Linked DNA regions of Pelodiscus sinensis. The protein of the gene in region 1 interacts with the protein of each later gene in a biochemical or structural test. Links are inferred from orthologs where the notes say so. Each region holds a gene or a part of one and is shown on either strand. Other genes may lie near its edges. The genes, in order: RGS4, guanine nucleotide-binding protein G(q) subunit alpha and GNAO1.

Region 1 (7,052 bases):
CCCTTTGCCCTCAGAAAAGTGGCAGCCAGTCCCAGAAGGCAAAGCTCACACTGACTGCCCAGTTAAGGACTGGACCTCCAAGGCCCTAGCTCCCCTGTTTGGGGGGCTATTCAGCTCTTGCTCTTGGAACCAGACACAGCATAGAAGTGAGTTCTTGCAGTATACAAGCCTGGGTGGTCACCAAAAATGTGATGGCCTCCCTTTCGGAAAGCTGCTCTTGGAACAGTACAGCACTGGGGTAAATCCCTCCCTTGGTTAGACAAAGGTAGACAGGCCTGGGACACGGCCTCAGCACTGTCAGGGTTATTCTGCTGCTCTGCTTCCCAGGACAGTCCTCGGTCCAGAAGCCCCCCTTGCAGGAACATCCAGTACAGGTATCTGTAGATGAACTCCATCCATTTAGGGGTCGTGTGTCCATGGACACAAGGCCTAGACTGACTGAAGGGGCTGTCACTATTTTATGCAGAAAGCATGGCGGCTGGACCAGAGCACTCCTGCGTTCCCTCACGTCTGCCTGGGCCAAGGCAGGTTTGTTCTGCGGCTCTAGGGGAGAGCCAGGCCTCAGGCTGGGTTAGTGGCTATTCTCAGGCGAGCAGCTCGCCTGTTCCACTCTGCATAAACTGCTTCTGAATATTCACTGGGGAAAGAGCAGTAATGAGGCTCTAGCCCACTGCTGCTGGCCCTCACATGGGCAGCAGGCTGTCCCCCTTCCCTCCCGATGCTGCCATTTGAACCTGGATCTCTGACATTGCAAACGTTCCCAGGGTGATAATGCCTCTGACTCTTGCCCTTCAACAATGCTCAAAAATTAAATGCTCTGGGTCAAATGATACCAACAGTTTGATTTGCCAAAAATTCTGAAAAAACCCTGGATTTGTTGTACTCAGCCTCTCTCCCTCTGAAATAGCTGCCACATTGAAAAGTCCGTTCTTCGCCCAGCTCCACCTAGGATGCTGGACAGGGGGCACTAAAGGCAAAGCTCCTAAATGGTGCTAATTGACAGCTTCCTGGAGCCCAGTGGCAGGCCCAATGTAGAACCTGTTGGCTGCTTTCTCCCTAGCCCCACCTGAGCCCTTTCCTCCAGCATCCTCTACTACTTGGTGGCTACCTCTCCAGTCCACAGGATGCACAACTGGGAGCACTGCCTACTGCCTCTCTTACACTGTGGCCCAACTGCAGACTTCCCAAAGAGGACCACTTGCCCAAGCCAATCATTCTTGCTCCATACCTAACCAGTCTATTCCATAAAGTCTTCAAAAATGAAGAGTATTGACAAATTAGCCCAATCTTCCTGAAAGCTAGTATCCATGCTAAAGGAGTGCGATTCTCCAGTGTAACATCTGGACTTCGAAGCTATAAATCAGAATTTCTGAATGGAGGTGGCATTCAGTGCTGTGTATGCTGCCACTGCAGGCTTTGGATGTCCTTGGTATTCTCCTTCAATAATCTATATCTTGTTTACAGAACACACACACTATTTGTCTCTAGCTTCTGGCAACCAGAGGCTGGGAATAGAAGACAGGATATCACTTGATGATCACTTCTTCTGTTCATTACTTCCTAAGCACCTGATACTGGCCACTGTTGCAAGTAGGGATGTAACGGTGTAGCTGATCAATCAATTAACCGATAAGTAAAAGCTTATAGGTTAATACTATAGACCACACACATTTCCCCTCTTCCCCACCCCCCAGTCAATTTTTTAGCAGGCTGGCCAGCAGCCTGTCTCAGTCCCAGTTTGCACTGGGTCCATGACCTACCCCCACTGCAGCTCTGCATGTCAAGTCTATTAGGAGCCAGGCAGGCAGGCAGCCCAGTTCCAACTCATGCCAGGTCTGGGAGCTCAGATCCCTTGCACCCCAGACAGGGGCTGCTGCCACACCATGCTGCTGCCACTGTATCAGAGGCAGCAGCATGGGGCCACAGGCAGCCAGTCCACGAGAGAAGCTAGTTTTAAAACTGGCTCCCCTCGCAGACCAGCTCCCGCCTGGCACCCTGCGCTGCTGCCTTGGACACAGAGGTGGCAGTGGGCTCCTCAGGAGTGGGGCTGGAGCCCACTGACTACCAGCTTCACTCCCTGGGGATTATAGAATAGCTGATGAACCAATACGAATTCATGAGGTTAATCGACTGTTCAATTAAATGATATTTAACATCCCTAGCTGGAAAACAGCCCACTGGCCCCTCTAGCCCAGTAGCCTAACCCTGAATGGCTCTATTAGGTTCTTATTCTAAAACTCCATCTGTGGCAGGTTCCTTTATGTTACCCTTCTGCCAGGCCGAGTTAATAGCAGCAAGGGCCGGATTGAGTATCTAGAGGTCTCCTCCCAACAAGGTAATACAACACCGGCTCGAGCCCCCACCCAGTGACCTGGGAAATCTTACATACACCTCTGGGTGCCTCGGAGGCAATTCTTCCCCTCTCGCAAGCACAGAGCCTCCGTATAGCAGCAAACCTTTAATAACATGAGGTAACCGACATCAGCATGAACTTGGGAAAACACCACAACTCAGAATCACAGACCATACATGAGCAAAGACCCTCCCCCCAGCCACGAATCACCCAAAGACCAACACCCCAAAAGTCTTTGCCCTGGGTCAGTGCAGCCCCAGGGTTCAAAAGTTCACCTGGCAGGGTTTTACCATCCCAACCTGGAGGGGCGGGGATTGATACACCTTACCTCCGTAGGGTTCTGCCGCCACCATCAACACGTCCACCTGTCGTCCAATGAGCCGCCTCAGCTGTCCCACGAACTGTCTGGCTCCACCAGCCATCTCGGTCCATGCCCCTGGCCGCCAGCTGATTGCTCCTGCAGCTGCTCCACTGACTGTCTGCTGCTGCTCCTACCAGCCGTCCCCACCAGCCACTCTGCTGTCCGCCTGCACCCACCGGTCGTTCCCGCAAACCGCTCTGCTGTCCGCCTGCACTTGCTGGTTGTCCCTGCAAGCTGTTCTGCTTGTAGCTCAGCAGCATAGCGCCAGGTTCCCCACAGCAATAGTGATTTCAGCTCTTCCGCAGCATAGCGCCAGGCTCCCCACAGCACACACTGATTTCAGGTCTTTAGCAAGTTCAGTTCACGATAGAGGAACCTCAGTGCTAGTGCTCCACTAACCCACAGTGAACTCAACTCTGCAACTCACAACTAGACTCCTAATGGAATCAAAATTAGCTCTGATACACCAGACTAGAGAAAAAAGAAAATGCAATCAGTGCTGTTTAGATGCTCAGCCAGGGCCTCACCACCAAGTACAAAGACCTGTCCCCACTCTTTTTCAATTTGACTTGGTTTGGAACCCATGCCCCTTGTGTAGCGAGTGCTACTTAGTTTATGGCAAATCCCTCTGTCATAAACAGTTCCACCATTCTGTTGTCCTTGATTCGCCTAATCAAGGTAACAACACTTTTATCCTCCCTGCCTCAATAACAGAGAGACTGGGGATCCCACAGTGGCCAAAGTTACCATTTGGGCTGCTGTGAGCACATACTAGACGGGGTGGGTGTGTCTATGCAAATTGGGATCTCGCCTTGAAGTCTCTTTGCACCATTTGCCACAGTTCACCACCAGGGCTGTGTCTAGACTGGCCAGTTTTTCCGGAAAATCAGCCGCTTTTCCGGAAAAACTTGCCAACTATCTACACCGGCTGCTTGAATTTCTGCAAAAGCACTGACTTCCTACTGTAAGAAATCAGTGCTTTTTGCAGAAATACTATGCTGCTCTCATTCAGGCAAAAGTCCCTTTTGTACAAAACTTTTGCGCAAAAGGGCCAGTGTAGACAGCTGAGATTTGTTTTCCGCAAAAAAGCCCCAATTGCGAAAACCGTCCGTGCCAATCTAGACGCTCTTTTCCCCAAATGCTTTTAACGGAAAACTTTTCCGTTAAAAGCATTTCCGGAAAATCATGCCAGTGTAGACGTAGCCCTGATGTCAGGTTAGAGCTTACCCTGACCCCGCTTACATCTGCATCCCCTCCCACCCATGCCCACAGGCCTTTCTTATAAGAGATACTACTAGCAGCACAAGCTACTTGTGGCCAATTCTCTCCCCTCCCCTCCCCCCCCCCCCCTTTGACTGCCCTGAGCCAGAAACCATTTACACTTACCTTCTTTGTTCGAGTCAGAGAGTCTGATGGGTGGAAACTTCTTATTAGCATAGCCCTGCCTGTGTGATCTTTGGCTCACACGAGCCAGTTATTACTGAACAACTGCCAAGTTGGCTTTGCTGCCTGCCAAGTAATATTTGCATTTCTCTCCTTTTACTCCCACGCTCGATGTGCATTTGATGCCACCAAATTACTGGGAATTAACCTTGTCTCTCAGGCCAGCCCCTTCAGCATACATCACTTCAGTAAAACATACAAAATTCTACCCAACACATTTTGCAAAGGGAAGATGGTTCAGGTCAGGCATACAACTCTGGGACTGATTAACATTGGCCAAGTGCCTCAGGTTTTTACTGGACTGCACTGCAGGTTCCTCCTTTTGTCTTGTATTCATTATTCTGGAGCCAAAGGCAATTCTTTGGAATCCAAACTGTGTGTATCTGGGGTGTTATTTTGCTTCAGATTGGCAGAGGGCAGAGTAATTCCTGGAAAAAAAATCCCTTCAGGGTCAGTTTGCCTGGAAGGGGGAGAGAACAAGACTGCAGAGCACAGAGCAATCCTAGATGAAACAATAGGACCAAAGGTTTAATGAGAAGGAAGAGGGGAAATTGAAAAACATATTCATTGTCCTACTATGAACCCTTCATTCTGATGGCTATGGGGGAGGGGGGAAGAGACACTTACATATCTCATTCCTCACAATGACAAGACAATTGTTATCCAATCAGTCCTAAAAACGAACATCCTGTAATTAGCACAATACCAGACAATGCATGCCATTCTGGACAATACATGCCATTCTGATTAGGTTCCAGTCTCCTAGAATGGATTCTTCCGCCTCTTGCCAAGTGTTTTCCATCCGAAGGTGTCCCGGCACTGCAAAGGCGCTCAGTAGCCTTACCCCCATTTTACATTTAGCAATTCAAGAATAGGGAGAGGAAGGGACTTGCTCAAGGTCCCCTAGTCCTACGATCTGCCCACTAGGCCATGTCAGATCTATCCCTGGGTTCCTGTGGATAGCAGTGACTAAGTCACTCAGGTGAGCAGGGCACAGTCGGTCTGGCAGGGTCCTGGGAGAAGGGGGCTGGATCACCGTGATCCTGGCTGGGCCAGGTGGACCCATGAGGGACTGAAAGGGGCAGCCTGCATGATGAAGGCATTTGAGAGACTCCTCCTGGGGCCTAAGGCTACCTCACCCCTTGTCAGGGTGCGTAGCAGGGTTAACTCACCAGCACAGCACCTCCTGCTGGTCGGACTGGGAATTAGCTCTGGCACTCCAGCTGGCTCAGCGCTCCTCTGGCTCTCCTTGTGCCCATGTCGCTCTCAGGACACTGCTGTCTGGCAGCACCACCGCTCCAGCCTTTTGCCCCAGTCAGGTACACCTGGGCTATGTCTACACTCGCGGCTTCTTGTGCAAGAAATATGCAAATGAGGCTAATTGTGGAATATCACCGAGCCTCGTTTGCAAACCTAATGTGCCGCCATTTTTGCAGAAGAGGCTTTTGCGCCTGAAGGAGCTGTCTACACTGCCCCTTGCGCAACAAAAACCCTCTTGCGCAATGCTGTTCTTCCTGAAAAATAAGCGGCATAACAGCATTGCACAAGAGGGTTTTCTTGTGCAAGAAGGGGCCGTGTAGACAGCTCCTTCTGGCGCAAGGGCCTCTTCTGCAAAAATGGCAGCTCATTAGATATGCAAATGAGGCTCAGCAATATTCCACACTTAGCCTCATTTTCATATTTCTTGCGCAAGAAGCCGTGAGTGTAGACATAGCCCAGCTGTCTTTGCACCTGCCTCTGTGGCCAACCGCAGCCCTGAAGTCAAGCCCTTTGCCTCAGAGACAAGCCAGTCTATACAGGCCACTCTCCCTGGTGGCAAGGTGCTGCATCGGGGAGACCCAGGCCAACTTCTCTGGTCCCAGTCCTTGTCCTGCCCCATGACCCTGTAGCCAGACAGACACTCCCCCCCCCCCCCCCTCCGCCCACATCCTTCTTATTTGCCTCTCTGAGGTTCCTGAAGCATACAGGGCAGAGAAGGAACAATAAAATCAGCATAGTCTATGCTGGCTCATCTGATCCTGAGAAGCTGAAAACACAGATATGAGGAAAGAGCGATTAAGGCAATAAGCTGACCTCGAGGCTGCGAGAACTGCCCTGGCTGGCACGTATGTTGATACAATCACATACAGTCGGCCCTGGGAGAGGAATCTCCCATTGAGAAAAGAATGCCCAGTACTTCCAATTTAGTTCTCTCTCTTACAAGTGTAAATTAAGTTCACAACTCCCTTGTAAGAACTGGTGTCACAAAAGACAGACCAGCACCATTTGGCATCTTAGATAAGAAAGAGAAATACGTGACCCCATGGCTACGTCTACACTGGCATGATTTTCCGGAAATGCTTTTAACAGAAAAGTTTTCTGTTAAAAGCATTTTCGGAAAAGCGCGTCTAGATTAGCAGGATGCTTTTCCGCAAAAGCAGTTTTTGTGGAAAAGCGTCTGTGGCCAACCTAGACGCGCTTTTCCGCAAAAAAGCCCCAATCGCCATTTTCACCATCAGGGCTTTTTTGCAGAAAACAAATCTCTGCTGTCTACACTGGCCCTTTTGCACAAAAGTTTTTCGGAAAAAGACTTTTGCCCGAACGGGAGCAGCATAGTATTTCCGCAAAAGCACTGATGATCTTACATGAGATCGTCAGTGCTTTTGCGGAAATTCAAGCAGCCAGTGTAGACAGCTGGCAAGTTTTTCCGCAAAAGAAGATGATTTTGCGGAAAAAATTGCCAGTCTAGACACAGCCCAGGGGTATAAAGATGGGTCCAGCAGCACACTCACTTTGAGTGTCAATCTACCATCTACCTGCTGGTCGGGTTAGGTTATTGACCTCCCGAGGTTCCACGGGGACGCCCACCTCATATTCGTCTTTCCTAGGAATAGAGGGACCGGCACTGGCTTGACC
Region 2 (7,150 bases), on another chromosome or scaffold:
CAAACAACAGGGAAAACTGAAGAACAGACTATAGCAGTGGGAGTGACTAAACGCAAACTGCTGTCAAATACACAAGCCAACTGAAAAATATCCCCCTCTCCAAATTATTTCAGTACACTAATTTTATATTTGGGTCCTGGAAGCAGCTCTGTGCAGGCAAATCACTGTCTCTGCCCTGAGACCCAGTGACTTCAAGTGGAGTTTGCCTTCACAGAGCTCCCTGTAGAATCAGAACCATAGGTGTTAATTGTGACACCAGTACACATCATTAACAGTAAGGAGCATGATTTTTAAGTTGACAATCTCCTTTAATTAGAGTGTACTCTTTTGAAAGTAGAATAGTGACAGCTTGTATACAATAGGAATTTCTGGAGTGGGATTGTTACAGTTGTGCATATGAGCACTGGAGATGGGTTACTTTGTATAAAGCAAGTATTGCATCAGGACCACTTCTCTCCGTTGCGAGTAAACCACACCAGTGCAAACTCACATTACACTAATGCAGCACATCAACATTGAAGGTTTGCACTGTTGTACCTACACAGAAAAACCCTGAGCTTTCTCAATAGTTCTATAAATTAAGAGCTCTCCTGACCCATCTATTTGCACTGAAACTACCCACCTTTCACTTGGCCTAAACTAAAGCAATGCCAAAATTAGGCACTAAGTCTGCCATGAGTTATACACTTACTTAACTTTACAAGTGAATGGACTCCACTAAAATCAATGACACTACTCATTCATTAAGTTAAGCATGAGCATGACTGACAACAGTATTGGGGCCTAAATCTTTGAAATTATATAAATTAATATATTTAAGTTCCCTTGTCCCCATTCTGGGAGCACACAGAAAACACCCCTAATAAACTTCACACTTTCGTAGAACCTTGGGCAAAATCCTGTAGCATTATTGCCAGAAATAAGGAAAATGCAGAAATCATGTGGACTTGTACGACAAGCCAAATATGATAAAAAATACTTCTTGAATCTGTTAAGTCAGTGTCCATAAACTAAAGCAAATGCAAGCTATATAATTTGTAATTCACATCTTGTCTTGAATTCTAAAATAATCACAATGTGCAAAACTAGGCCAAAATCATATACGCAAAGCAATTTTTATCTCTCTCTCTCTCTCCTGATCATTCCTCCACACCCATTATTCCAACTTCCGAAGAGAAAATGTGTTACTGAAGGAAAACTGCAAATTAATTTAAAAGAATATGGTCATACAAAGTCATTCTCATGTTTGCATATTTTGAACCAGCTTTAACATATTTAAACCCATATCAATAACAACCTTTATGTATAAAACAAGATAGTACATTTGCACTAAAGCAGACAATACACATCTTTTGCATGTGATGTATTCAGTTTTATAACCCCACATACACGCACATCAGGCTCTTGTGCAGACATTTTTAGGCACTGTTAGTCCAAAGCATTAACTACATCTACCATGATAACTGTGTATTAAAAAAAATCTTATGACCAAATAATTGTATTATTTCTAATTCAAAAGTATTATTTTAGCAGATACAAAGTCAAATAGGGACACACTAGTTTCTGTACAATAACTGTAATATAATTACAGTTATTGTACAGAAACTGCCGAAATTAAGAGGAAATTCTGTTGTATATGGTAAATTGTATTTCTTATCCAGTGGGTGGATTCCGAAGATACTCCAGATCCTGTCATTCTCTAACATACTGTAGGTTATTATTCAGTTTCATGGTCTTTGTATGGTGGTGCTGTTATTGTAAAAAATTAGCCTATAATCTGAATGTAACCCTTCATCTCCGTTTCCATGTTTTAGTGTTATTTTTATTTAATGAAGCAATCAGCCACCCTGCAATCTTTCGGAAGGCTCTCAGAACAATGCAGACATTAAAGCTTGCCACCATCAATCTGCAAAGCAACTCCGCCTGTGAGTCCTTTCATTTAGCTGCTGCCTTGCAATTTTCCCTTACACCCACCCCCAAATGTATTTGCCATTTATGTTCTCTTTTCATCTCTCTATCACCCACCAAGTCCTCTCCCCGCTCCATTTTTGGAAGGCCAGTGTCCATTCCACATCAAATTGCCTTCAGGAACCAGAATCATGTATTTACCCAGCTACATTTTCATTTGCAAAACATGCCACCAAATATACACCATGTAACACCGTGTATTATAGCTATCTGGGCGCACGCACACACACACACACACACACAAATGTATCCGCTCCACTATCATCAGAGTCCGAATAAACAGAATCATGCAGATTGGAAGCCCCCGCGGAGCGAAAGCAGGGAAACTGAGTGTAAATCGCGTCCTCCCTCCCTTCCCCTGCACCCATAGCCAGACTCCCTTTCCCTTAAGACTGATCAAGGCGCGGATACAATATCCACTCGGGATCCACACACCGGCATATCGACTGCATAGGTGCCTACATGCACGGGCAAAGCTGCACTCCCCAATGCCCCCTGGCACCCAGTATGTGTGTGAGCAGCAGGGGCGGCGCGGCACCGGGGCAGCTGCCCGGGTTGGGGTGAAGGCGGCGCCTGCCCGGACTTACCCAGCAGCAGCAGCTTGAGCTCCCGGCGGGCGTCCCGCTTGTCCCGGCGGAGCTGCCTCTCGATCTCATCGTTGATACGCCTGGCTTCCTTGGCTTCCTCGCTCAGGCAGCACGCCATGATGGACTCCAGAGTCATTCTTCCTAACTGGTTCAGACACAACCCCCACCCCCCGAAAACTCTCACTCACACTCACACACACTCACACCCCGCACCGCGGAGCGAGGGAGGCACGCGCCCTCTGCCTGCGAGCCCCCACCCGGGGACAGCCCAGCCGACGCCGGGAGAGCGCTAGATGCTACACCCAGCGAGCAGAGGCAGAGAAAGGGCCCCCACCGGCGGCGGTGGCAGCAGCGCAACCCCACTATCTCCTGCCTCTGACACCCTCTAGTTCCAACTCCTCCTCTTCTCTAAATCATGCACCAAACAACAGGGAAACATCCACCGGAGCAGCAGTGCCCAGCAGAGAGGAGCAGCCCAACGCCCCCTCTTTTCCCTCGCTGCCGCCTGCGGTCACCTCAGTCCCTTGTAAATGACACCCGCTGAAATCCCCCCTCAGCTCCCTCCCAAGCAGCCAGCCCCCTACTGAAATGCTAATCGCGACTAACCCCTCCCCCCCTCCACACGCACATTTTCTTGTTTCTCTTCCCCCCTCCCTGACTTTGAAGACCAGATGCTCCAGGAGGTGGTTTTTGCTTGTTGCCGCTTGAAAATCTCTTGGAGTTTGCTTTGCTTAAGGTTTTCTTGCAAGTGGACTTTTCTTCCCGGCTTTCTTTGAGGCTGAAGGGGGGGCGGGGGGAGAGCTACTTGCTTGTGGCTTGCAAAGCAGCTGTTGCAGAGCTGTTCGTCGTGTTCCTGCCTTTCCCTTTCTGTGAGGAAGCGAGAGGGGACAATGTGAGAGAAGAGGAGGGAAGCAGGAGCTGTGGTGCATGCACAATATGTATCCAGCCAGCCTGACTTTTCAATGGCTCAGTTCCCCGGGCGTGGTAAGGCAGAAATATGGCGGACCTTCCCTCTCTCTCCCTCCCTCTCTCCAACCCACGAGACAGAGGAATATGTTACAGACAGAAAGGAAAATCCCAGGGCAATAAACCTTCAAACCCACTGAACAGGCTTTCACACAAAGACGAGCACCACCATCCAATAGCAGTAGTAGAAGGAGGAACAAGTACTTTTGCACACCAAATGGCCGCAAGGAACACTCTTTTTTGTATTTGTCCTATAGGGCAGGGCTGGGGAGGGTAACATATTTTTGTATTTACTTTTCATTCCTTTTTTAAAATCCATTTTGTTATAAACCTTCATGCTATTCCAGGAAGAGATGACTTTGCAAAGAGTTTAAGAGTGAAAGAATAATTCCCAGGAGGGGAAAGAGGCGGAACCTTTCTCCCTTCCGATGGCAATGTAAATTTGGGGAATAAAAGTTTCCCAAGGTCTTCAAGGCGTTCCTTATAACTGTTCATGCCAAGGAGTTCATATGTTGAGCTGAAGAACAATGGGGGAGGGGAGATTGTAACAATCATTATACTAAATAAAATGGGTAGGTTCCTTCCCTTGCTTCCAGGAACCTAGGATTCTAAAATGTAAATAGATTAATCTGTTTTACTTTTTATTTCTGTAGGTGTAACTTTGAGGTTATCCATTGTGTGATTTTGCCAAACTCCAAACCCCTTGTATATTTGTACTACTAGACCTTAAGTCAAACCATTACAGAGCAATGGCACATTATGGACTGATACATGATATGGATCCTAGCTTTCATCCATCCTTGATGTTTTAGCTGCATTTTGCCCTATTCCCACCCCATTTAAAATTAGCTATAATGGAGAAGGATCCTGTCTTGCTCCATATCCTCTTTCACCTGCCAGCTTCATGTGTGATGCTCTTTCCAGCACCTGTTGGCATATATTTTGAAAAGTATGTTGTGCTCACATGTGCAGCTGCTCATACATGTTGACAGTCTTAATTAAGCTATGCTCATCACAAGCTCTGAAAATTAAAATTTAATGATCAAAACAGTGACTTCTAGATTTTGAATAAAATAATTCTCATTGTTTCACAATTTTAAAAATATATTTACTTGTGCTGATTTGTTCAGCAATTTTTTTGACAGACTAAAAAAATAGTCCCTGCAGCTCAGTTGATTTTTGAAAATATGTTTCGTTTACCTTGCAAACAAAATTAAAATAAAGATGGACAAGTTTTAAATTAAATTCTACAATCCTATTTTTAATAAAAAACACATATTTCAGAAAAATCATTTTTTAGTAAACTGAAATGGATTTAAAATGTAATAACATGTTTTAGGGTCCCTGGTTTATGTATATGTTGGCAATGAATTTAGCAACATAAAGATACAGTTGATAGGCACTAGTTTGCAGTTACCATGTATATAAAAATGCTAACCAAGAAACAAGTGAACAATGACACAGGGGTCAAATCCTCTTTGCTTCCACTGAACAACTTCTTAGTGGATGAGGACCTGTAAGTGAATAAGGGACAATAAGGCAGCAGAATGGTGGTACAATGGCCAGTTATAAGGAACATATGCCGGAAACATGCTGTGTGCTCACCACACTGCTTGCACAGGGCCCGGCATGGTGCAAAAGTGTTTGCAGCAAGTCTGGGGGATGGGTAGATTATAGCAAGTGGATCTGCAAGATCCCAGGATAACTGATCAAAATCTCTCTGCATATTGAGAGCATAGCAGCCACAGCCCTTAAGGCCTAGCATTATAGTAATCTTCCTTCAGAAGAGGAAGTCTGACTCATCTTTCAGAGCACTAAAGGGAGTTGCAAGAGTCTCTCCAGGGTCTGAATACTATATACTAAAAATGTGAAGCTGTCATTTAATTGTAGGAATTCTTGGGTATGTATACTGCATTTATTCTCTACGTATCTCTCCCAATGACAATGATTTTTGCCATATGACCTGAGGGCAGTACCTTCCAATATGTATCTTGAGAAAAACCACAGAATAAATAGAAAATGTTATGAGGCTGGACTACAGAAATTGCGATAGCAGCGCATAAAAATGGACCTCAGCTAGTATCCTACCTCTGCAGGTGAATAGTACCAGATACTTTAGAGGAAAGTGTAAAACCTTCATAATCAGAATCAAGCAATAATATACCTCTAGGGTTTCTTCCTAACTCCAATCAGAATAGTGGTAGGCTTTTGTTCTAAATCATGAGGCTTTATATCTCCTTTTCCCTGTATATATTTATCCTAGCAAGTATATCTGCAAATGATACAATTATTAACTACAGAGATACCTAATACTATTGTGATTCCCACCAAGCTCTTTGCCTCAGTATCTGAGTTCCATAGCTTAAGTATATCTTGCATATAATGGTGACTCCATTTATTGGCCTGAATTTTCAAAATGACTAGGGATTTTGGGTGTCTGACTGGAAGACTCCTTAAGGAGAGTCTAGTGTTCAGGAAGTGATGAAGAACATATCTTCTTTGAATATCAGATTCCTTTAAAGTGTCTTAAATTGGGCACCCAAACACTGAGGTACTCATGATAATTAGTCACTTTTAAAAATTGAGGGTGTTGTTTTAAATGCGTTGCTTTTTATTTTCATTACCATCACTTTCTTGCTTTGTAAGAGAGAGTAAATATGCATTTGTGATAAACCTTGGTATACCATTGATAATGCTGTATATCTCTATCATATCTCCTCTTACTCCCTAAAGTATGTAGTGCCAGACTTTATAATCTGTTCTTGTACAGAAATCCTTCCATTTAGTTGACCCACTCTGTGTGTCTTCTGTTTTTTTAGATGGTTTGACCAAAACAGAACACTGCATACAAGGTGAGAGCATACCAGCAACATAGATGAATCTGTTATCATAGTTTCAGCTTTATTCAATATCTCATAAAACAACATCTTTGTGACTAATATTGCAACCCCATGCAGTATTTTGGGGGACCATTTATTAAATTTATGAATGGTTTATATATGATTGTGTTCTAAATGATGGGGAGGGTTACCACAGCTCCTAAAGGAAATATATACAATGAGAGGTATTAGGGCCCTGAAAGACTGATGAGCGACTCTTGATATATTTAGTATTAGGACTGTCAAGCAATTTTAAAAATGAATTGTGGTTAATCACATGATTAATCGCGTGTGCTGCCCCTTTGAAATGCTGCGGCGGTGTTTCAAAGGGGCAGTGCTGTGGAAGCCTGGGATTATCTGGAATCCCCAGCTGATTCCAGGCTCTGCTCACGCTGCTCCTTTGAAATGCAGCAGTGACGGCACGGATCCCGAGAGATGACCTTGGCTCTGTGCAGCACTGCCCCTTGGTAATGCTGCCACCGCGGTGTTTCAAAGGGGCAGCAGCAGCTCTGCGAGAGCCCAGGATCAGCTAGACTCCCCAGCTGATGCCAGCTCCATGCAGCGCTGCCCCTTTGAAGTGCTGCCCCGGCGTTTCAAAGGGGCAGTGCCATGGGAGCCTGGGATCAACTGGAGTTCCCAGCTGATCCTGGGCTACATTGGCCTTCAGAAGGGCAGTGCCGCACAGCTGACCCTAGGTGCTGCTCTGTTGAAACGGAGTGGCATTTCAAAGGGGCAGTGCTGCCTGGAGTC
Region 3 (7,844 bases), on another chromosome or scaffold:
TCCCCGCCAGTGTAGACAGGCAGCATGTTTTTGTGCAAAAGCAACTGCTTTTGCGCAAAATCATGCCAATGTAGATACAGCTGTGTTGTTTGCTTATATTTATCTTTGTAATTTGACCTAGTTTCCACTTTTTATATGACTCCTTTTTGATTTTTAGATCATGTAAGATCTCCCGGTTGATCCAAGGTGGTCTCCTGCCAGACTTTTTATCTTTCCTACTCAGTGGAATAGTTTGCTTTTGGGCCCTTAATAATGTCCCTTTAAAAATACTGCCAACTCCCTTCAGTTGTTTTTGCTCCTAGTCTTCCTTCCCATGGACCTATCAGCTCTCTGAGTTTACTAAAATCTGCCTTCCTGAAATCCATTGTCTCTATTTTGCTGTTTTTCCTTCTACCATTCTTTAGAATCATGAACTCTACGATTTCATGGTCACTCTTTCTCAAGCTGCCTTCCGCTGTCAAATTCTCAACCAGTTCTTCCCTATTTGTTAAAATCAAATCAAGAACAGCTTCCCCCCGGTAGCTCTCAACCTTCTGAAATAAAAATTTGTCTCCAATGCAATCCAAGAACTTGGATAGTCTGTGCCCCGCTGTGTTTGTTTCCCAACATGTGTCTGGATAGTTGATATCCCCCATCACCACCAAATCCTGTGCTTTGGATGATTTTGTTAGTTGTTTAAAATGGCTTCATCCACTTCATCTGCCTGGGTAGGTGGTCTGTAGTAGACATCACCCTTATCTTTTTTATCCCTTTTAACCTATCCCCAGTCCATTCCTTGATTTGATTTTAACAAATAGGGTAGAACTGGTTGAAATCCAGGAGAGACAAGGATAGAGTCCAAAATGTAGCAGAACTCAGCACCACCCACCCCTGGCATGGGCTGTGGACCTACACATGGAGGAGAACCGGTCTGCCCTCCTTCATGGAAAAGTTCCTCCCACTGCTGGGTGTCTGCCTCAACTAGGCCCTGCTGACATTGCAGTTGCCATGGTAAGAGTATCAGAGGGGTAGCCGTGTTAGTCTGAATCTGCAAAAGCGACGAGGAATCCTGTGGCACCTTATAGACTAACTGAAGTGTAGGAGCATAAGCTTTCGTGGGCAAAGACCTACTTCGTCAGATGCATGTAGTGGAAATTTCCAGAGGCAGGAATAAATATGCAGGCCAGGATCAGGCTGGAGATGACGAGGTGGATCCAATCAAGGAGGCTGAGGCCCACTTCTAGCAGCTGATCTCCAGAGTGGCGCATCCCTCAGTTGCTCCCACAGGGCAGGCTTCAGGTTTGGCTGTGCAGGGCCCAGCTGGGCAGGACAGACTCTTGTGGTGTGAGTGGCCAGTGCCCTCCCCCTTCCCTGGTAGCAGGTTAGGCTGCCCTGTGTTCGGCAGCAGTGGGAGGAGCCCGCAGGATGCAGGTGGGGGCTTGGGGTCCTTCAGAGCTTTGCACTTAGGGGACTTGGTCTGGGGGAAGGGGTTCAGGCACTTCAGCACCCACCCCCCAGGGTGCCATGGACCAGACCCCCACAGGACTCTGCCCCCCAGCAGTGCTGGACACCACGGGGTCACCTACTCACCCACCCCTGCCTCACTGTGCTGCACCTAGCCTCCCTCCCCCCCATATCCCTGAACCCCCCAAAAACACCCTAACTACAGCCCTATTCCCAGGGGCACCCTGCCCCCATCAACCTGAACCCCCTCAGCCACTCTGCACCCCAGCATTATCTGCAGGCACTCTTAGCCCCCATCTTCCTCCCTCCTTACCAGGCACCCTCCCTCCTGGCTAGACACCCTACCCCAAGCCTCCTGCATCCGCTTTGCTCCTTGCACCTTCCCTCCTGGTCACACATTGCACCCTCCCTTGCTCCTGCTCCCTCCTCCTAGCCAGCCACCCTACTCCCAGCCTGCTTCTGTACCCTACCTCCCACCAAGACCTTGCAACCTCTTCCCCTTCTGCACCCCACCTCCCTTCCAGATCCTGCCCTTATTTCTATCCCACTCACTGGCAGCCCTGTCCCACACACTGAACCCCTCATTTTTGTCCTCACCCCAGAGTCTAAGGAGGTCTATAAAATCCAGTAACTCCAGAACACCAGAAAAGTGAATCTGGCCTATGGGAAGCCCTGAACTTCAGTCCTCTCTGTCTCTTCCCCTCGCCCCATCAGGCTGGAGCACCAGGATTGTGAGGGGGGGGGGGTGTTGGAAGAGAGTTTTTTTGCTTCTCACTTGTGTGGACCCCAACTGATTTTTCTGTGGGTCAGTGGCTCCTGACACAAAAAAGGTTCCCCACCCCTGCCATAAATAAAGAAAACATTGAAACCTTTTGTGTTGGACATAAATTAATATTTTACTTTATTTAGAATGAAATTTTATAAACGAACATGAGACAGTTAAAACTCTTAATCTGTTTAATGACTTAAATTGAACCATTCTCCCTAGCTGCAGCCAATAGCAAAATGGCTTGAGTGTAATTACTATATGTAATTAATGATGAGTTTACATTATCAGCTTGTGGTCCGCAGAAAGTTTCACATTGGGTGGTCCGTGGGCTAAAAAGTTTGAGAACCACTGATCTAGCCTATTATCCTGTCTTCCTACAGTGGCCAATGCCAGGTGCTTCAGAGGGAATGAACAAAACAGGTAATCATCTAGGCTATGTCTACACAGCAGCATTAGAGGTGTTTAAGTCTCGGCTTGACAAAGCTCTGGCGGCTTTGATTTAATTGGGATTGGTCCTGCCTTGGGCAGGGGGCTGGACTTGATGGCCTTCTAAGGTCTCTTCCAGCTCTATAGTTCTATGATTCTGTGATTTCAGAATAACCGATGTTATTTCAAAATTACAAAGTGGCTGTGTCTAGACTGGCCAGTTTTTCCGGAAAATCAGCCGCTTTTCCGGAAAAACTTGGCAGCTGTCTACACTGGCCGCTTGAATTTCCGCAAAAGCACTGACTTCCTACTGTAAGAAATCAGTGCTTTTTGCGGAAATACTATGCTGCTCCCGTTCGGGCAAAAGTCCCTTTTGTGCAAAACTTTTGTGCAAAAGGGCCAGTGTAGACAGCTGAGATTTGTTTTGCGCAAAAAAGCCCCGATCGCGAAAATGGCGATCTAGATTGGCCACAGACGCTTTTCCGCAAAAAGTGCTTTTGCGGAAAAGCGTCCGAGCCAATCTAGATGCTCTTTTCCAAAAATGCTTTTAACGGAAAACTTTTCTGTTAAAAGCATTTCCGGAAAATCATGCCAGTCTAGACGTAGCCACAATGTGTTTCTACAACGCAAGCTGTTACTATGAAATAATTTAGAGATGGAGGACTTCTTACTTCGACTCCTGTAACCCTCATTTCATGAGGAGCAAGGGAAGTTGAAGGAAGAGAGTTCTTCCTTCGACTTCCTGCTGTGTAGACCATGCCAAAAGCCGAATTAAGCTATTTCAGCTTTAGCTTTGCAATTGATGTACATGTCTCTGAATGAACCTAGGATGGGATTTCATCAGGGAAAACCTTTTGTCACTTCTTTCACTGTCTCCTCTCCCACCTGGTACCAAATTTGCCCAGGCCTAATAAAGTTCATCTCTGCAAGTGTATAAACTTCCTAGAATCAATTATTATGCTCCTTCTGACAGCAGGACCTACAGGTGCTAACCAAGACACAAAACCCATAGTGCTAGGCATGCATTGTACATACACAGATGTACTGTGTAAATGTATGCACTGTACAGTACATATATAGTCCCGGCCCACAAAGAGTTTACAGTCTAAATAAAAAAGACAAAAGGTGGCAGAAAGAGGAGAAACTTCTTATAGAGGAGAACTGAAACACAGGGGAAAAAAGTGACCTAAGGCCAGCACAGGAAGTGGCAAAACCAGGAATTTAACCAGGTCTCCTGCAGCCCAGGCCCAGCCTTTCCTCTCATTATTACCAAAGTAGCACTAGACAAGCCCTATTCACTACACCAGTGTTTCTCAACCTTTTTTTTTTATAAAGAACCCCTTTTCAAAAAAACCAAAATTATAAGTACCCTCAGTACCTAGTTTTCAGACACACAATTTTTTTGTCTACCATTGCACCCCATTTGTTTAAATAACTTAATTTTAGCTGGGCAGGCGATGAAATTTTTGGGTGTAAAATGTACAAAAATAATAAAGCGCTGTCAAACTTCAAACAAAAATTCAGTTCTCTCCAAATTTCAGTTGTTGACGTCCCCCCCCCCCCCCCCCAGCCTTCTCTCAAGTTCCCCTAAGGGTACTTCTACCACTGCTTGAGCTACACTGTATGTACAGAAAGGCCAGTAAGGAGAATAATCATTTGCACTGCTAAAACAGCTCCTACTCCAGGCACTCCACCAAGCCATGAATTCTGCTTGGGAAAACTGAGGTCACTGCTGAAAGGTCACAGAGTGAGCTCGGCTAGCCCCCGGCCTTGGCACGGGGCAGCATGCATGCGAGGAAAGGGGAAAGACGCCTTTGAACCTCACCGAAGTCCATTGGCCTGGCAGAGCTTTCCTGGAGGGGTCAAAGGGAGACAATGACGAGTTGTCCACCCGCAGGCTCCTTCCTCCCCGGCTCCAATTGTTTCCCAACTCGCGCAGGCTGCAGAGCGCACAGGGCCCTACCTAGGTACCCCCCGGGGCTGCTCCCCGCCCTCCTCTCGCTGGATCCTCGCTGCACCTAGGGATGGAGCGCGCGCTCTCCTCCTGCCAGGAGCCGCGGGAGCAGCTGCTCGCGGCCCGGGAGCGCCAGCAGCCCACCCTGCTCTGGGAGCATGCGCGGGCGGGCGCTGCGGACGTCACCAAAGCAGGCGAGCCCGTGAGTGCGGACCCCTGGCGCAACTCCCCCTCCCTCCTTCCCTCCCGCCCGCTCGCTTTCCCCTTCTGCTTCCCTCTCCGCCAGGAGCCGCCGAACGATGCGATCGCTCGCAGCCATCGCCGCCGCCCATTAGAGACCCCACAGCCTGCATCAGAGGAAAAAAACCCTCCAGCCAAAGCAGGATCCACCCTTTCCCCTCCCCCCGCCGAGCCCTCTTCCTCCTCCTCCTCCTCCTCCATCAGGAAGAGCTCAGCCTTTTTTGCACCAGCCCCGTGCCTGCCTGCAGCCCTAGATCTGCCCGGCTCCCCCTTGGATGCACTGATTGCTAGAGAGAGGGAAAGGAGGGAAGGGCATTCACAAGAAAGGGGAAACGTATTTGATTGCCCAGATTTTTTCCTGGGGGTTCATTTTTCCCCCCTTTCTCTTGGAGTGTCTGAGAAGGGGAGAGGCGGCCGCCGAGGGTTTTTTTGGCCATCATGGGATGTACACTGAGCGCAGAGGAGAGAGCTGCCTTGGAGAGGAGCAAAGCGATTGAGAAAAATCTCAAGGAGGATGGGATCAGCGCCGCCAAAGACGTGAAATTACTCTTGCTAGGTAAGCAGCAGCTCCCCCCCCCCCCCACTCCGCCCCGCCGACCACATCCCTACCCATTTCCTTAAGTCATGTTTTCTTCCCATCTGTGCACATTCTGTCTTGGGAAACTGTATTTCACCAAGATAACCCCCTCCGTTAACACAGCTGCTCCCTTCTGTGTAATTTCCTTTATCTCCTTATGTTCTCACGTTCACTGGATCTTTTCTTTCTGTGTCTGTCCCAACAGGGGCTGGAGAATCTGGGAAAAGCACCATTGTCAAGCAGATGAAGTAAGTCCTTTGGGGCTAACGCCCTAGAAGCGTCGATCATTTGCCTTGAAAAAATCTAGACATTCCTCTGATTTTCTTTGGAGGGGGGAGCTTGTGAGAAGGGGCTTCTTTAGTTGTAAGAATGCCTGTGACCGCCATATTTATCTGAGAATTACTGTGGTTATCGTGTTGTGGCTTGTGGACCCATTAGTATGGCACATCTGTAGCAGTGATTTCTAGTGGGGAAAGAAGATGGAGGGGGATCCAGCCCTTTGCTCACCGAGGATGACCAGGTGTCTGCTGTTCATGGGGTTGGTGCTGAATTGGATGTGGTGTGGTTTCTCTTTTCCCTCTCATAAGGTGTGAGAAGCTGCCTGTGGTTGGGGGTGGGGTAGGATGGGTTTCGTAGAAGATATGAATGGCACAGATGAAACCAGGACATCATCATCCTCTGCATTTAAGCTTAATGTCAGGTTTTTATCTCCTAGGCTCTCTCCTCTCAAAACACACACTCCCTTCCGTGTTTTACCTCCTGACGTGAGCTGCTGGGCCGGCTCCCTGTATTTGTTTATTTTAAAAATCTGCCTGTAATGCGGATTTAAAGCAAGGCTTGCTGCCACTCAAAGCCCTTTTTACCCGAGATTTCCGCCTTTCCTGTTGATTAATTAAGACGTTGGCTGCTGATCACCAATGAAAATTAAGGGAGTTTTAAAAAAAGAACAGAACATTAAAACAATTACACAAGGAAACCTGCTCCGCTGTAAAAGCCCTTTCCAAATCGGAACATTGTTCCTCTGTCTTCCCCTCCCTCAACCCTCTCTCCGGGGCATGGATGTATTTTAAATCTCACGAGGCTGTCTGGAAGAAAGCGGCGAACTGCTGCGGTTGTGTAGGGTTGGACTTGCCCAGGGGTTCTTCTGTGACACCTTTGTGCGCGCACACGCTTGCTAATTGGGCAGTTGCTATGCCATAAACGCGCGCACACACATTGATTCTCTTTCAAGTAAGCAGTGATGGTGGGGGGGGGGAGGCGAGGCAGGCTAGCGAAAGGGGGGGAGGGTATTTTTATTTTGTAAGTACATGAGAAATGTCGGGCTTACCCTGGAATAGCCATGACAAGCTCATTCAAGGTGGCGCCATCACTGAGCAGCCCCTGATCGCAGGCTTAGGAGCGTCCCTGCTGCTTGGTTTTAAAGGCCCAGGGCGGGTTTGTTATTGATCGGTGCAAGGCTGATTGCAAAGGGAGTTGCTACGCTGACCCCCTGGGGGAGGCTCCGAGAGCGATGCCCAGCAGCGGGTGTGGCGGCCTGTCATTGCCAGAGGTGGCCTGGGGGAGCGGGCCTCCCTTGGAAGGCTTTGAGCAAAGGGAGGGGACTCTGCCTGCAGAGCGGCTGTCGGCCGGGCCGGTCCCCACGCCGCGGCGCCAGCTGCGAGCTTTCAGGCGTTCCGAGTGGTGGACAGCGCCCAGCAGAGCCTGGAAAAGTCGATCGGCCCCGGCAGCTCGGCAAAGCTCGGCGGCCGCCGGGAGCCTGCCTCGGCGGCGTTCGGAATCTGTCGGGAGACACAGAGCAGCGTCGGAAATGGCCGAAGGGGTTCGGAGCCGCTCGGTGCGCTGCCCTCCCCCGCCCACCGCACACGTTCGATGCATTGTCGAGCGATCTGCAGGTTGGGTCATTTTGCCATTGAACAGGATCGGTCCCTTCCCTTCTGGGCCCCACCCCGCTCTCCAGCTGTTTGCCATTTTGCCACCCGGGGGAGGGACACTGTGATCTGTTTTCAGAGAAAAATAAGGCGACTTCCAGAGAGGGACGGGGAAGTCCAGTTTTCCATGGCTTTAGCTGCTTTGGCAGTCCTACCAGACATCTCCCATGGCTTTTTATAGCGTTGTTTGTGTTTCAGTAAAGACACACTCAGCTTTCAACTCCTTGGAAAGGTTTGCAGTTACAGGTTTGTCCTTTGGTTTATTGGAAAATTTGGAGTAGGAAAGGGAGGGTCTGGAGCAAATTAACATCAATACATTAATAAATGCATCTGTCCATTAGATTGTCTGCAATAGACTTATCCAGGTATGGCTTTGTGTGTGTGTGCTGACATCCATGAATGTATCCCTTCCCTTCAACCAGAAGAGAACACATTGAAATCAGCCTTAGAGATGATGGGTTGTAGGATGAGTCTGGAGCAATGTACACAAAGTGACTAGGCATATCA

What was found.
Region 2: the proteins of RGS4 (region 1) and guanine nucleotide-binding protein G(q) subunit alpha form a complex in vitro, tested with the Homo sapiens proteins (3 studies listed by BioGRID). The link is inferred for Pelodiscus sinensis from reciprocal best matches to the Homo sapiens genes RGS4 and GNAQ.
Region 3: the proteins of RGS4 (region 1) and GNAO1 form a complex in vitro, tested with the Homo sapiens proteins (2 studies listed by BioGRID). The link is inferred for Pelodiscus sinensis from reciprocal best matches to the Homo sapiens genes RGS4 and GNAO1.

Annotation. Positions count from the first base shown.
Region 1 is NC_134719.1:65,678,911-65,685,962, reverse strand, and holds the start of RGS4 (regulator of G-protein signaling 4), read right to left. Parts: upstream 3,086-7,052; 5' UTR 2,975-3,085; coding exon 2,682-2,974; intron 1-2,681. UniProt on the Homo sapiens protein: Inhibits signal transduction by increasing the GTPase activity of G protein alpha subunits thereby driving them into their inactive GDP-bound form. Activity on G(z)-alpha is inhibited by phosphorylation of the G-protein.
Region 2 is NC_134716.1:37,304,040-37,311,189, forward strand, and holds the start of guanine nucleotide-binding protein G(q) subunit alpha, read right to left. Parts: upstream 3,078-7,150; 5' UTR 2,692-3,077; coding exon 2,556-2,691; intron 1-2,555.
Region 3 is NC_134722.1:44,556,804-44,564,647, reverse strand, and holds the start of GNAO1 (guanine nucleotide-binding protein G(o) subunit alpha), read left to right. Parts: upstream 1-4,811; 5' UTR 4,812-5,270; coding exon 5,271-5,388; intron 5,389-5,614; coding exon 5,615-5,657; intron 5,658-7,844. UniProt on the Homo sapiens protein: Guanine nucleotide-binding proteins (G proteins) function as transducers downstream of G protein-coupled receptors (GPCRs) in numerous signaling cascades.